Linked DNA regions of Coturnix japonica. The main gene of each other region encodes a partner of the protein of the gene in region 2 in a complex. Links are inferred from orthologs where the notes say so. Each region holds a gene or a part of one and is shown on either strand. Other genes may lie near its edges. The genes, in order: LATS1, NF2 and LATS2.

Region 1 (3,649 bases), on a different chromosome or scaffold from region 2:
AACCCGGGTCATTCTGTGATCCTAACAATATGCAGTGAACTAACTACCCTTTCCCCTTCTCACAAAGACCTCAAATATACTTCACTATTGTGGAAATTCTGTCCTTTAACCTGATGAAAGAGGAGAGTCTTGCCGCAGTGTAATACTGCATTTCCCCTGCTTCAGTCTGCAATCAAACATCCCAACTTTTAATCTAGCATCAATATTATAAATATTGATCAAAATTATAAATATGTCACATAAAAAAAAAAAGACATTCACTTATGTGCTTTAAATGTACACAGAAAACATTCAAGAAAGCTTACAATCAGTGTCTTCGCTTAAGTAAGACATGATTCTGATACTACGGAACAACACAGGAAGGAGGGAAAGTGAAGTTTGCAAATCAACATGAGTTATAATCTTACTTTTCAGTACTCAAAAATAGTCAAAATAAAATACATGCTTAATTTTGATGCAGGATTGCATGCAAAGACCTCTAAAAAGGGATCATGCTACTCTTTAATAATAAATACTGTTGCTCCAAAAATCTTACTTGCCTACACAGGGATGGAGGCTACAGAGTTCAGGAAAGCTTCCCACACCTTAACAGTTTAAATCAGCTGTTAGTGGAAGTGAAAAGGAAAGAGAGAAAACTAAGAATAAAGATCTAGAAAGAACTTCAGGAAATGTTGCTAACATTCACATGTCTTATGATTAACCAAACATAAAACACTATAGCTTACAGAAGGAACTTTCAAAGAGTAAACACTTCAATAAAATAAAGCAGCATTTCAAGAAAGCATTAGCCAAGTACATTTGTAAAAGGCACATCACAATTACGTCCAATTTTCAACTACAGCTGCTAAGAATATATAAAATGCATCTCAAGTCTTCATTTCTGCGGGTCTCGATAATCTACTTCTCATGATTTTCACTTCTGAAATTACACATACACACATCACCTGCTTCTTTAACACTTTTAGTTTCACAGAACACGAAATCTCGGGAACAGAACTGACTTCAAGTAAGTGCAAAGAAATTGCTTCTATATATTCTTGCAGGTGTGTGTTTGTTATCACCCCACTGAGTTACACCTTGTTTGAACAGACACCCTTAGAGTCTGAATTATAGAAGATATTTTAGAAATATACACTTTTTTATGTTTTTTCTTTTTTTAAGGTAGGAATGTCAAAAACCATCTTAGTGGGAACAAGCTGTAAAAGATACCACTGTTCAAGTGATTATATAAAAAGCGAACCAACTCGCCCCTGCAATGTTTGCTTATACACGTATATACAAACCATTAAAACATTGCACAGAGCTCACTCAAAAAAAATCAGGATTAAACAGAATCCATAAAATAAGCGATAAGCCAAGTAGTTAAATCTCAGTTCATACAGAAATTCTGCTGCTTCTGCTTTACCAATTATGAGCTGTGTTTAGACACACAGAAACCATATGTCACTAAACTGATTTCTAAGAAGACAATGAAGTATGTAAGCAAAGTAATAAAGAAACTGCCACATCTGAAATACGAAAAACTAAAGCCAGCCCTCAGCACCATGCTGTACCACCGTGTTCTGTGCATCCGTACTACGTGTCCTAACATAAAGACAATTCTAGTCAAAAACTTATGAGAAAGGGTTTACCCGCATCATTTCATTCTCCAGTTGTTTCTTCCGATGTAAACGCTGCTGATGTGACTTAAGTATATTCTCCACATGCTGCTCCATGAAGAACTTAAAAGCCTGAGGGGAGTAGCTTTGAATACGAGACTCTCGCCGTTCTTCATCTTTCTTATTTTTTCTAACAGGAACGGGCGATGTTGTAATTTGTTTCTTTTCTTTGTCTGCTGAATCAACACATTCATAATTCTTTTCATTCTCTTCCTCCTTAGATGAAATGGGTGGTTCCTCTTTGTTAAGCTTGGGTCCAGTCTCGTAAGGATGGACAGATGGACTCTGGTGTAATAAGTGTTTGGGATAAGGTGGGGGTGGACCCTGGTAATTTGGAGCCTCTGCCACAGGTGGCATAACAGCCATGTTTGAAGATGGACCCTCGGAGAAGGGAATGGGCGGAATGGTTTGTACTGGTTGTGGCATCCAGGAAGGGTGAGTTGGTGCTAATGCAGTCTGCAGCTCTGGCTTTAACACACGCATACTTTTCACTGGCTGCTGAATAGGAGCTGGCGTGATAGCAGTTACCGTAGTGGCTGAAGGTTGAGAGCTGCTAGCGTGACCCTGTCTATTTCCATGATGGTTGTTGAAAGAATTTGACCGTGCTGGAAGGTTGGGTTGCCATGCAGGGATTTCATGCCCATTGCCAGGTGATGACTGTGGCTGCACGGGTGGAGGCTGTGACCAGGATGCAGGTATTCCAGCTACATTCGTATTATAAAGTTCCATGTTGTGACTATTTCTATTTGGCACCAACATTGTTGAAGGAAGATTCCCATTGGTGTATGCTGAAGGGGGAGCAGATCCCCCTGCCTGCATCTGTAGTGCCGTCGGACTCTGCCTATTAGCTGAGTTCATGGGGTATGGAAGTGGCTGGCGACTGACTGAGTTCCCAGACACAACGTTCTGGTGAACTATGAAGTCTGCTGGACAATTACCATTTTGCATTCCAGCCCTTCCTGAGGGAAAGCTAAACTTGCTGTTGGCAGAACTCTGCATGATTATTGGTTGCCTTCCAATGGGGACAGCACTCATGGCTCTCTGACCCTGAGTGGAAGAATTCATGGGTGGCGGATTCATCGGCGGAGGTGGATAACTGTCCTGCCATGCACCTGGTGGCACTGGAGAAATACGGGTGATGACATATTCCATGTTCCCAGAGTAACGCTTTGTCTGAGCGTTCGGTTCCCAGGAAGGCGGTGGTGGCGTGGTTCCTCTGGGAGGGGGTGTCTGCCCTCGAGGAGGTGGAGGAGGTGGCGTGACGCTCCTGATCTGGGGGAGTGGCGGGGGGTTCACTCTTTGTCCATTGCCAGGGTGAGCCTGAGCAAACGCTGCAATGCCAGATCCAGATAGCGGCCTTCCTACATCAGGCTGAGAGCTGGGACTTTCCGAGCGATAAACTACTCCATCCGCCAGGGAAGGGCCGTGCCTCTGAGGAACTAAGGATTCCTTAGAACCCTTCCAGCTCTGCTTGCGGTTAACTGACTGCTGCACAGTCCCTGCTTTTACAAAAGATAAAAGAGCATTTCTATCAGTTCAGAAAAAGAACATGCTAACTATGATAACTTTGCGAGTAATAATGAAAATTATAGCTCAGTAATAGCATTTAGCTAGCTGCTTCAGACAAGCACCAACTAGTTCTGCATCACAGGCTGAGAATAAATGCTGTATGTTGCTGCTCTTGATTTACCATTTTTTCCCCTCACACCTATACTGTGGATTTAAAACATCTTCAGAGTCGACTGTTGAATAAAGTTGAGCATTCAACTTTAAGTCAACAAAAGTTCACTGATTCCTAAATGGCACATGACAGAAAAAAATACAAGTATCACAACAACTAGGGGTAAAAATGACTGAGATCTGAGTATCATTCCTCGGATATAATACACAGAATCACAGAATGACCCGGGTTGGAAGGGACCTCAGGGATCATGTAGTTCCAACCCCCCTGCCTGGCAGGGCCACCAAACACACACATTTACTAGATCAGA
Region 2 (3,649 bases):
TCCTATGGCTGTTCTCAAACTGTCACTGGTGGGTGGTGATCAGGAGGCTGGATGGAGTTTATTGCATTCAGACAGTCTGCTGATAAAGGAGCACAAAGGAGAATGAGTTGGGACGGAGCCTTGCTGTGTCCAGGTTTTGGCTGCAGGAAGCTGCAGGCTTTCATGGAAGAGAGGGGGACTTGGTGAGCCACGATGGTCATGTGGAATGTTCAGTTTGGGGCCTTGCTCCAGGCTTGAGAGCACATTCGAGGGGACATTGTGTGCTTGCTGACTTAACATGTGTTTATTCTCAGATGAGGTCTGAAGAGACAGCTGATTTGCTGGCTGAGAAGGCTCAGATCACGGAGGAGGAGGCAAAGCTCCTGGCTCAGAAAGCAGCAGAGGCTGAGCAAGAGATGCAGCGAATCAAAGCCACGGCCATTCGGACGGAGGAGGAGAAGCGACTGATGGAACAGAAGGTGCTAGAAGCTGAGATGTTGGCACTGAAAATGGCGGAGGAGTCAGAGAGGAGGTCAGAGGGTACAACCTTGCAGCTGTCTCTGCTTTGCTTTCCAGCCCCCTTCTGACTTAGCAAAACTGTGGCTCACCTTGAGGTAGTTCAGAGTTTGCAGTGAGTCCTTGGCCTCCCCTGCATGCACAACAGCAACTGACCCCAAGGCTCAGCTGATTTCTCTCTGTTTTGCTGTTTGCCACAACTAGGCTATCCCTGCATAGGAAATGGTACAGGTAGAACAGTGGTGGCCCTGATTTTTCTTTGATCAGACGTCCCTTCTTTGAAGCCCTTTTATTGGAAGGGTTGATGCTATGGTGAAAGGAACAGGGAAAGGGGACATCACCTAGAGGGCCCTGGTGCTCTGCCTTTCACGCCCTGACAGCAACAGCTGAAGGGAGCTCAACTTATGGGTCTTTTCCTCTCCTGGCATTCTGATGTGCTGCTCCACCCCTTAGCTTTGCTTACTGCTGCTCATGCAGAGTTCGTGCCAGAGCTGTCCTTCTATGGCGTGGATTTTTGTGCTAGTTAGTGTCCTACATGTCAGAGGTTCCAGTGTTTCCCTTACCCAAATGATTTCTTTGTTTAGGCCTTGCTAAGGGATAACTCTCTACCTGTTTTACACCTATGGTGTAATCATGTTTATCAGCCTCCAAACTTGGACCTAACATTGCCTTTTGCTGTTCTTCCTTGGTAGGGCAAAGGAGGCTGATCAGCTAAAGCAGGACCTTCAGGAGGCTCGAGAGTCTGAGCGGAGAGCAAAGCAGAAGCTTTTGGAAATCACCAGCAAGTCATCCTACACGGTAAGAATCATCAGTATTGTCATTGCTAGTTTCCAGACAGTAACTGGCATCCTCCGTAGTCTAGAGCAGTCTTGTGTCTCTATCCCATCAGTAGGGGGGTATGAATCATCTCACTGTATTGCTTAGTAGCTGTTCTGTAATACTTAGGAGCACTTGCCCTTTTCGTCTAAGTAACTTGTCCACCAGAACGCTTTGCTCACCTTTTTCCCCCTATCTATCTTGCTTTATTCTACAAAGGCCAGAGAGCTGCCGATGGAATTAAATGCAACAAACTGTAAAGTAATCTAAGAAACGTGCCGTGCTTTGCATGTGGAGTTGACCAGCTCTGTAAGAGCTTTTAAAATAGGATTAAATACAGAACTGAGGATGGTCTGATACTTGTTAGGAAGAATGAATATTGTTCCAAATCTGTGAATTCATTCTCAGGCATAAACTGGTCTCTGTGCATCTATGTGCTGAAAAACCAACTTCATTGAAGGGGGAGTGTTCTGTAATTGCCCATTAAGAGGATTTCACACCTTCCTCTGAAGCATCTGGTCCTGATTGCTGCCAGGGACTGAAACACCAGACTAAAAGACCACTGCTCCCATTCTGTCTGGCAGTTCCTTTCCTCAGCTTCCCTAATTGTGCTGCAGGACCTGCAGATGCCATCAGGCGCTCCTTCCCCACAGCTTGCACCTGCCATGACTGCCTTTGCTGCTGCACTTTGTCCAGAGAGGTGAAGGGGGAAGAACTTGACATCTTCAGGAATAAACTCAACAGACATACGTGGGAGTTACTGACCTGTCTAGTACTGAAGCTTTAATTTGTACGTGTTAGCTCCTTTCCTCCCTCTCCCCTCAAAACTTCTGGGAAGCAGATTGAAGAGGGTTAGTGATGAAGAAGCTTTTCATCCAGATTCTCTGAAGATCCCTGCAGAAACATTCAGAAGCGTTTAAGAAACGGCAACGATGGAAAATAGTCGGGTGTTTTTAGCCTCAGGGCCTTCAGTCAAGTGCTGTAAGGCTTGATGCTTTCTAAACCTTATCTTTGGAGAGCTCCTTATGTTGCTGCAGGGTTCTGGGATCCACCAGTTTGTGAATTCTGAGCTTAATTTACTCACAGGGTGGAGCATACTTGTTGGAAACCTACTGAATGGCTACATCAGCCCAGTGCTGATGTCTGGGCAGAGCTCTCACATCCAGGTTCCCTCACGTGGCTGTGCTCATCCTTAGTCAAACGAGCAGAACCACAGCTAGTGAGCTCTTGTGCATAAATCCCTGTGCTGCCCGCACTAGCGATCAGCAGCGTGACTGTATTCCTGCCTGTGGAGTTAAAGCCTAATTACAGGAGGTAGTGCAGGATTGCATGGAGCTCAGCTCCACCCCTCCAGCTGCATCTGTCCTAGAGGCAATCTGTGCAGAGCTGCCGCCTCCAGTCACAAAGTGCTGTATCCTCCTTTCCTCAAAGAGCTGTGGCTTGCCTTTTTCTCTCCCCATTTAGATGACAGAGTCCCCTCTCATAGCTCTTCTTGCCCCCTCCCAGCCATGGGAGCAGCACTGCATCACACAGACGCAATGTCTGTTGCTTTTCCAAGGCCAGCTGGCTGTCTTATGTCTGTTAGACTTGTATCCATGTGACAGTAACTTGCTGGGCCCTTGTGTGTGAAGCACCCCATCTCCATCCCTTGTTACACCTGCCTCATGTTTCTCTTCCTTTGTAGCGTCTCTCACTCTGCCACGTGAGTGCTTTGGGACAGATGAGTGAGATGTGCTGAAATGCTTCTCCTGCGCAGGATTGGGCTGAAGGGACTGTGCTGGGCAGGCGCAGTAGCAGAGAGGGAATAAACCCAAAGTGGCCTGAGGGATGAAGGGTTTTGAAAGCTGCTGCTGGGAGGCTGGTGTCCCTCAGGTGAATGGCAGCTCTGCCAAACGGTACCAGATTCCAGCTCTTCTCTTCCTTAATGAGGGTGTAACGCTGAGCTTGTTATTTTTCTTTCTCCCAGAGTTTGTGCTGTAGTCCCCTGGCATGGAGTGCAAGCCAGAACTTCCCTCCTGGGAAACAAGCAAAAGAGGAAGGGAGGAGAGGATGGATGTGTTACAGAAATGACAAGAAGCAGTTAAAATTTTTCTTTGGTAATTTTCCAGTTCCTTGTACTGGCTTTTTAGAACTTGTTCAGGTGTCTTTTTAGACCTTGAAGCCAAAACTGCTTTTGTGATGGTGGTGGTGGATAATGCACAGGAAAGAAAAAACAAACCTGAGTTTCAGGCCGCCAATGCTGGGAGAACAATTCATTCCTTACTGACTTGGCAGTGCCTCCTGCCTCCTTTGCTGCCATTCAGGTACCAGTCACAGCAAGACTAAAGGCAGTCATCTC
Region 3 (3,649 bases), on a different chromosome or scaffold from region 2:
ATTCTGTGTGAATGTCAATGGGTGCCATTTTTTCCCCAGGAGGAGGAATTCAATGGCACACTTTTGCACTTCCGTGTCAGACACCATTGTGTCAGACTGCCCCTCTGCTGCCACCTGTTGCACAGCAACAAAATGCAATGGAATATTGGTGGGAAGGTTCAACTCCTACTACCATCCCACCAACATCTGTCTCTGATGTTGTAGACCCAGGTAACAAAATAAGAGGCACTACTTTCAGAGCAGCTCTTGTATTCCAACACCCATCTCAGGATGATAAAAACAAGCATCTCTGTGCTGAATTCCTTATCTGAGACAGGACTACCCTCCCTTGGTGGAAGCAAAGAAGGTAAGGAAGAAAATGCATGCATCCAATTACACTTGTTCCTTGCAAACAGCAAGCAAGCTTCTTCAAAGAATACATACATCGTTCTTTTCATTTGCTTCTGACAGCAAGTGGAGTTTAGACATATAGAATCACAGAATCACAGAATGACCCGGGTTGGAAGGGACCTCAAGAATCATGTAGTTCCAACCCCCCTGCCTCGCAGGGCCACCAAACTTCCACAATTACTAGATCAGGTTGCCCAGGGCCCCGTCCAACCTGGTCTTGAACACCTCCAAGGACGAGGCATCCACAACCTCCCTGGGCAGCCTGTTCCAGGGCCTAACCACTCTCCTAGTAAAGAATTTTCCCCTGACATCCAACCTAAATCTTCCCTCTTTCAACTTAAATCCTTTTCCCCTTGTCCTGCTATTGTCAGCCCTTTCGAAGAGTTTAATCCCCTCCTGGATATAGGTTCCTTTCAGACATATTAGACAGAATTCCACCCTAATACTCACAGATAGAACTTGCTACAGTATTGAGAAGGGAAAAAAAAAAAAAACCCAACAAAAACATGCTGCCCTGTTAAGCCTTATACATCAAATGAAGAAATTACAGAAGTCCTAGAGGTCACCACAACCATCTTCATAACACGAATTAACCTCACACTAGACATGCCTCTCAACAGCAAGTTCATCTGCTCAGCTATTCACACAGCAATACGACTGCCAAAAGAGTTGGTGCATTTTTTACAACCAGTAAACTTGATAACCATTATCAACATTGTTACCTCAGGACCAAGCATAAACTTATTTTGATCACAGTGACAATTCCCCTCTCTTCCAACTCATACGTACCTGATCACAACCCGCATTCACCAGCTCCTGGAGCATCTGCCTATTCACTTCAACAGCTGCTGTATTGCTCGACTCATTAGCAAAAGGTAGCAAAGAATACCTAATTTCTCGCAGAGCTTTCTGATAAGGTCCAAACTTTGCCGTTTGTCTCATCTGCTGCTGCCTTGCAGCATCCTTCCCTACTAAAATCTTAGGGTCCAGAGAAGTTTCACTGCCTGGTCCAATAGGCAGCCCCTGACCTGAAGATTTGGATGGCTGCTTTAAACCTTCTCGAATCTCTTGTAACCTTTGTCTGCTGTTTCCAGAATACGTTGTAGCAGGAAAAGTCTTTGGCCTCATTGTTAATCCAGTTTTCTCTGAGCATAAATACAGCTTTATTCTTGGTAGTTTTTTTTTAGCTACTTTATTTCTAAGAAGTGTCGCTTCACGGTATCAATTTCTTGTAAACATAAATCCTTCAAAGGGAAAAAGAAAAATGGCAAAATCCTCAAGAGGTTCCTGCCAGCATTTTACTTCAGCTCACAGTCTTCACATCTCCTACAGAAAATCCTTGGAGTCATCATTTCACAAACCGACGGCGTCTGAAACAAAAGCAAACAGAAAGCACGCGTAATTAAGTTGATATTGTAAACACCTCCAAAGGGACAACATGACAATTAATCAAGTGAAAGTGAATCAGTTTAACCTTATTAAGCTGTTGCAGCTTAATGCATTAATGATGATTATCACTTTATCTGTTTTCAAGAATAGGATTTCAAAAGGCTTTCTCGACATCATCAAAAAAAGCATTTTTCTTCAAGGCCTTGTTTTGAAAATAAATGAAAATAAAAACCTCAGAAACTACAAAGCTTGAGAATTTCATACACTACCTAATTGTGGCAGGTTTCCCACCCCATTGCATAACCAAACCCTGGACAAGCCTATCCTGTTTCATAATTAGGGAAGAGCATGCTCATGAAACGTTTTTCCCCCACTTCAGATTTTGTTTGTTTTACACAAGCTGAGCTCAGTTTCAAGAGTTTATGAAAAAGCCTTATAATGGAAATATTGATGATTCTAACCATAGCAACTTCTAGCATTTTAATAACAAAGTGACAAGATATTTTGCCATTCCACATGAACGTTCTTGCCAATGTTGAAGGTAAGAATTGCCCCTCTCCCAGTTCCAGGGGGTTTATTTTATTTCTTTGTATTATTGCTATTATTAAAGGGTGCAAGGGCGAGGGAATCAAAAGGGTGATGCATACTTTAACTGTGCCTGACAAGAAGACAGGGAAGGAGCTACTCAGTAACAGCACAAAAAGCTGAAGAAGTTCAGACCGCTCACATAAGATTAAAACACAGCTGTGATACAGCCTCACAGCCCTCTTATGATACACAGCAGAGGTCAGCTATACAACTATGGAGCAGAACTGAGCTACTCTGCAACTTGTGACACCTTTACAGCACTGAGAGGTAATCAGAATTCTTTATTTACTGAGTCTTCGTGGCATTGACAAGTGACAGGACGAGGGGAAACGGCCTCAAGTTGCGCCAGGGCAAGTTTAGGTTGGATATTAGGAAGAACTTCTTTACAGAAAGGGTAGTTAGGTACTGGAATAGGCTCCCCAGGGAGGTGGTTGAATCGCCATCCCTGGTTGTGTTTAAGAGCCGTTTGGATGTGGTGCTCAGGGATATGATTTAGTGTAGGGTTGTTAGAGTTAGGGTACTGGTTAGCTGGGTTGGACTTTGATGATCTTCAAGGTCTTTTTTTCCAACCTGGGTAATTCTATGATTCCATGACTGTTACATGCCAAACATTACATACAGATGCATTTCAGAAAAAGGATTAAAAAGAAGCATCACATAGCACTGATGCTACAAGTTTGTTTCTGCCACCAGTACCAACATCTGCACAGTGACTTTACCCTGCTGCTCCATTGAGAAAGCTCAGAATTTCGGGTCCAGTTGTTTTGAAGCCACAAACAGAAGCTGGTGAAGTTCTGCTATCGTTGGTCACTCAGAAGCAAAGCGGACCTTCTTTCTCAGCCCTCATTATAAAGGGGCTTCACAGCCTGCAGTATTACTATTATTAATACATCATGAAAAGCTTCTCCAGAAAGCATTCTAGTCATACACTCCACCCACTGCAATAACTGTTCCTGTGACAGCTACAGCGTTTCCAACAAAACAACCATTTCTATACAACTTACTACCACCCCTCACAGACAAGCAAACAGATAACTACCTGAAAGCCAGGAGTCCGCACATACCCCTTGAAGCCCATCATCACCTCCTCACTGGCACGTGGGCTACTGTCAAGAGAGTCAAGTTCTCCACTAAACCAAGAACTGAGTACAGGGCAAATTACAGCCAAGTCACAGATCACAGAATGAACCCGGGTTGGAAGGGACCTCCTCAAGGATCATGTAGTTCCAACCCCCTGCCTGGCAGGGCCACCAAACATACACCTTTTACTAATAGGTTGCCC

What was found.
Region 1: the proteins of NF2 (region 2) and LATS1 are in contact, whole or in part, in a crystal structure (PDB 7LWH), measured with the Homo sapiens proteins. The link is inferred for Coturnix japonica from reciprocal best matches to the Homo sapiens genes NF2 and LATS1. Residues at the interface, in NP_000259.1 of Homo sapiens: Pro135, Glu136, Ala137, Val139, Leu140, Tyr144, Asn175, Leu176, Tyr177, Gln178, Met179, Met183, Trp184, Arg187, Trp191, Glu206, Ile210, Asp213, Leu214, Glu215; in NP_004681.1 of Homo sapiens: Pro69, Lys70, Phe71, Gly72, His74, Ala77, Leu78, Glu80, Ile81, Arg82, Ser84, Leu85, Phe88, Ala89, Asn90.
Region 3: the proteins of NF2 (region 2) and LATS2 are in contact, whole or in part, in a crystal structure (PDB 4ZRI), measured with the Homo sapiens proteins. The link is inferred for Coturnix japonica from reciprocal best matches to the Homo sapiens genes NF2 and LATS2. Residues at the interface, in NP_000259.1 of Homo sapiens: Pro135, Glu136, Ala137, Val139, Leu140, Tyr144, Asn175, Leu176, Tyr177, Gln178, Met179, Trp184, Arg187, Trp191, Glu206, Lys209, Ile210; in NP_055387.2 of Homo sapiens: Tyr73, Ala76, Leu77, Glu79, Ile80, Arg81, Ser83, Leu84, Leu85, Phe87, Ala88, Asn89.

Annotation. Positions count from the first base shown.
Region 1 is NC_029518.1:43,379,046-43,382,694, forward strand, and holds part of LATS1 (serine/threonine-protein kinase LATS1), read right to left. Parts: intron 3,161-3,649; coding exon 1,632-3,160; intron 1-1,631. UniProt on the Homo sapiens protein: Negative regulator of YAP1 in the Hippo signaling pathway that plays a pivotal role in organ size control and tumor suppression by restricting proliferation and promoting apoptosis.
Region 2 is NC_029530.1:9,885,912-9,889,560, reverse strand, and holds part of NF2 (merlin), read left to right. Parts: intron 1-293; coding exon 294-511; intron 512-1,187; coding exon 1,188-1,293; intron 1,294-3,649. UniProt on the Homo sapiens protein: Probable regulator of the Hippo/SWH (Sav/Wts/Hpo) signaling pathway, a signaling pathway that plays a pivotal role in tumor suppression by restricting proliferation and promoting apoptosis.
Region 3 is NC_029516.1:159,812,389-159,816,037, reverse strand, and holds part of LATS2 (serine/threonine-protein kinase LATS2), read right to left. Parts: intron 1,761-3,649; 5' UTR 1,519-1,760; coding exon 1,180-1,518; intron 1-1,179. UniProt on the Homo sapiens protein: Negative regulator of YAP1 in the Hippo signaling pathway that plays a pivotal role in organ size control and tumor suppression by restricting proliferation and promoting apoptosis.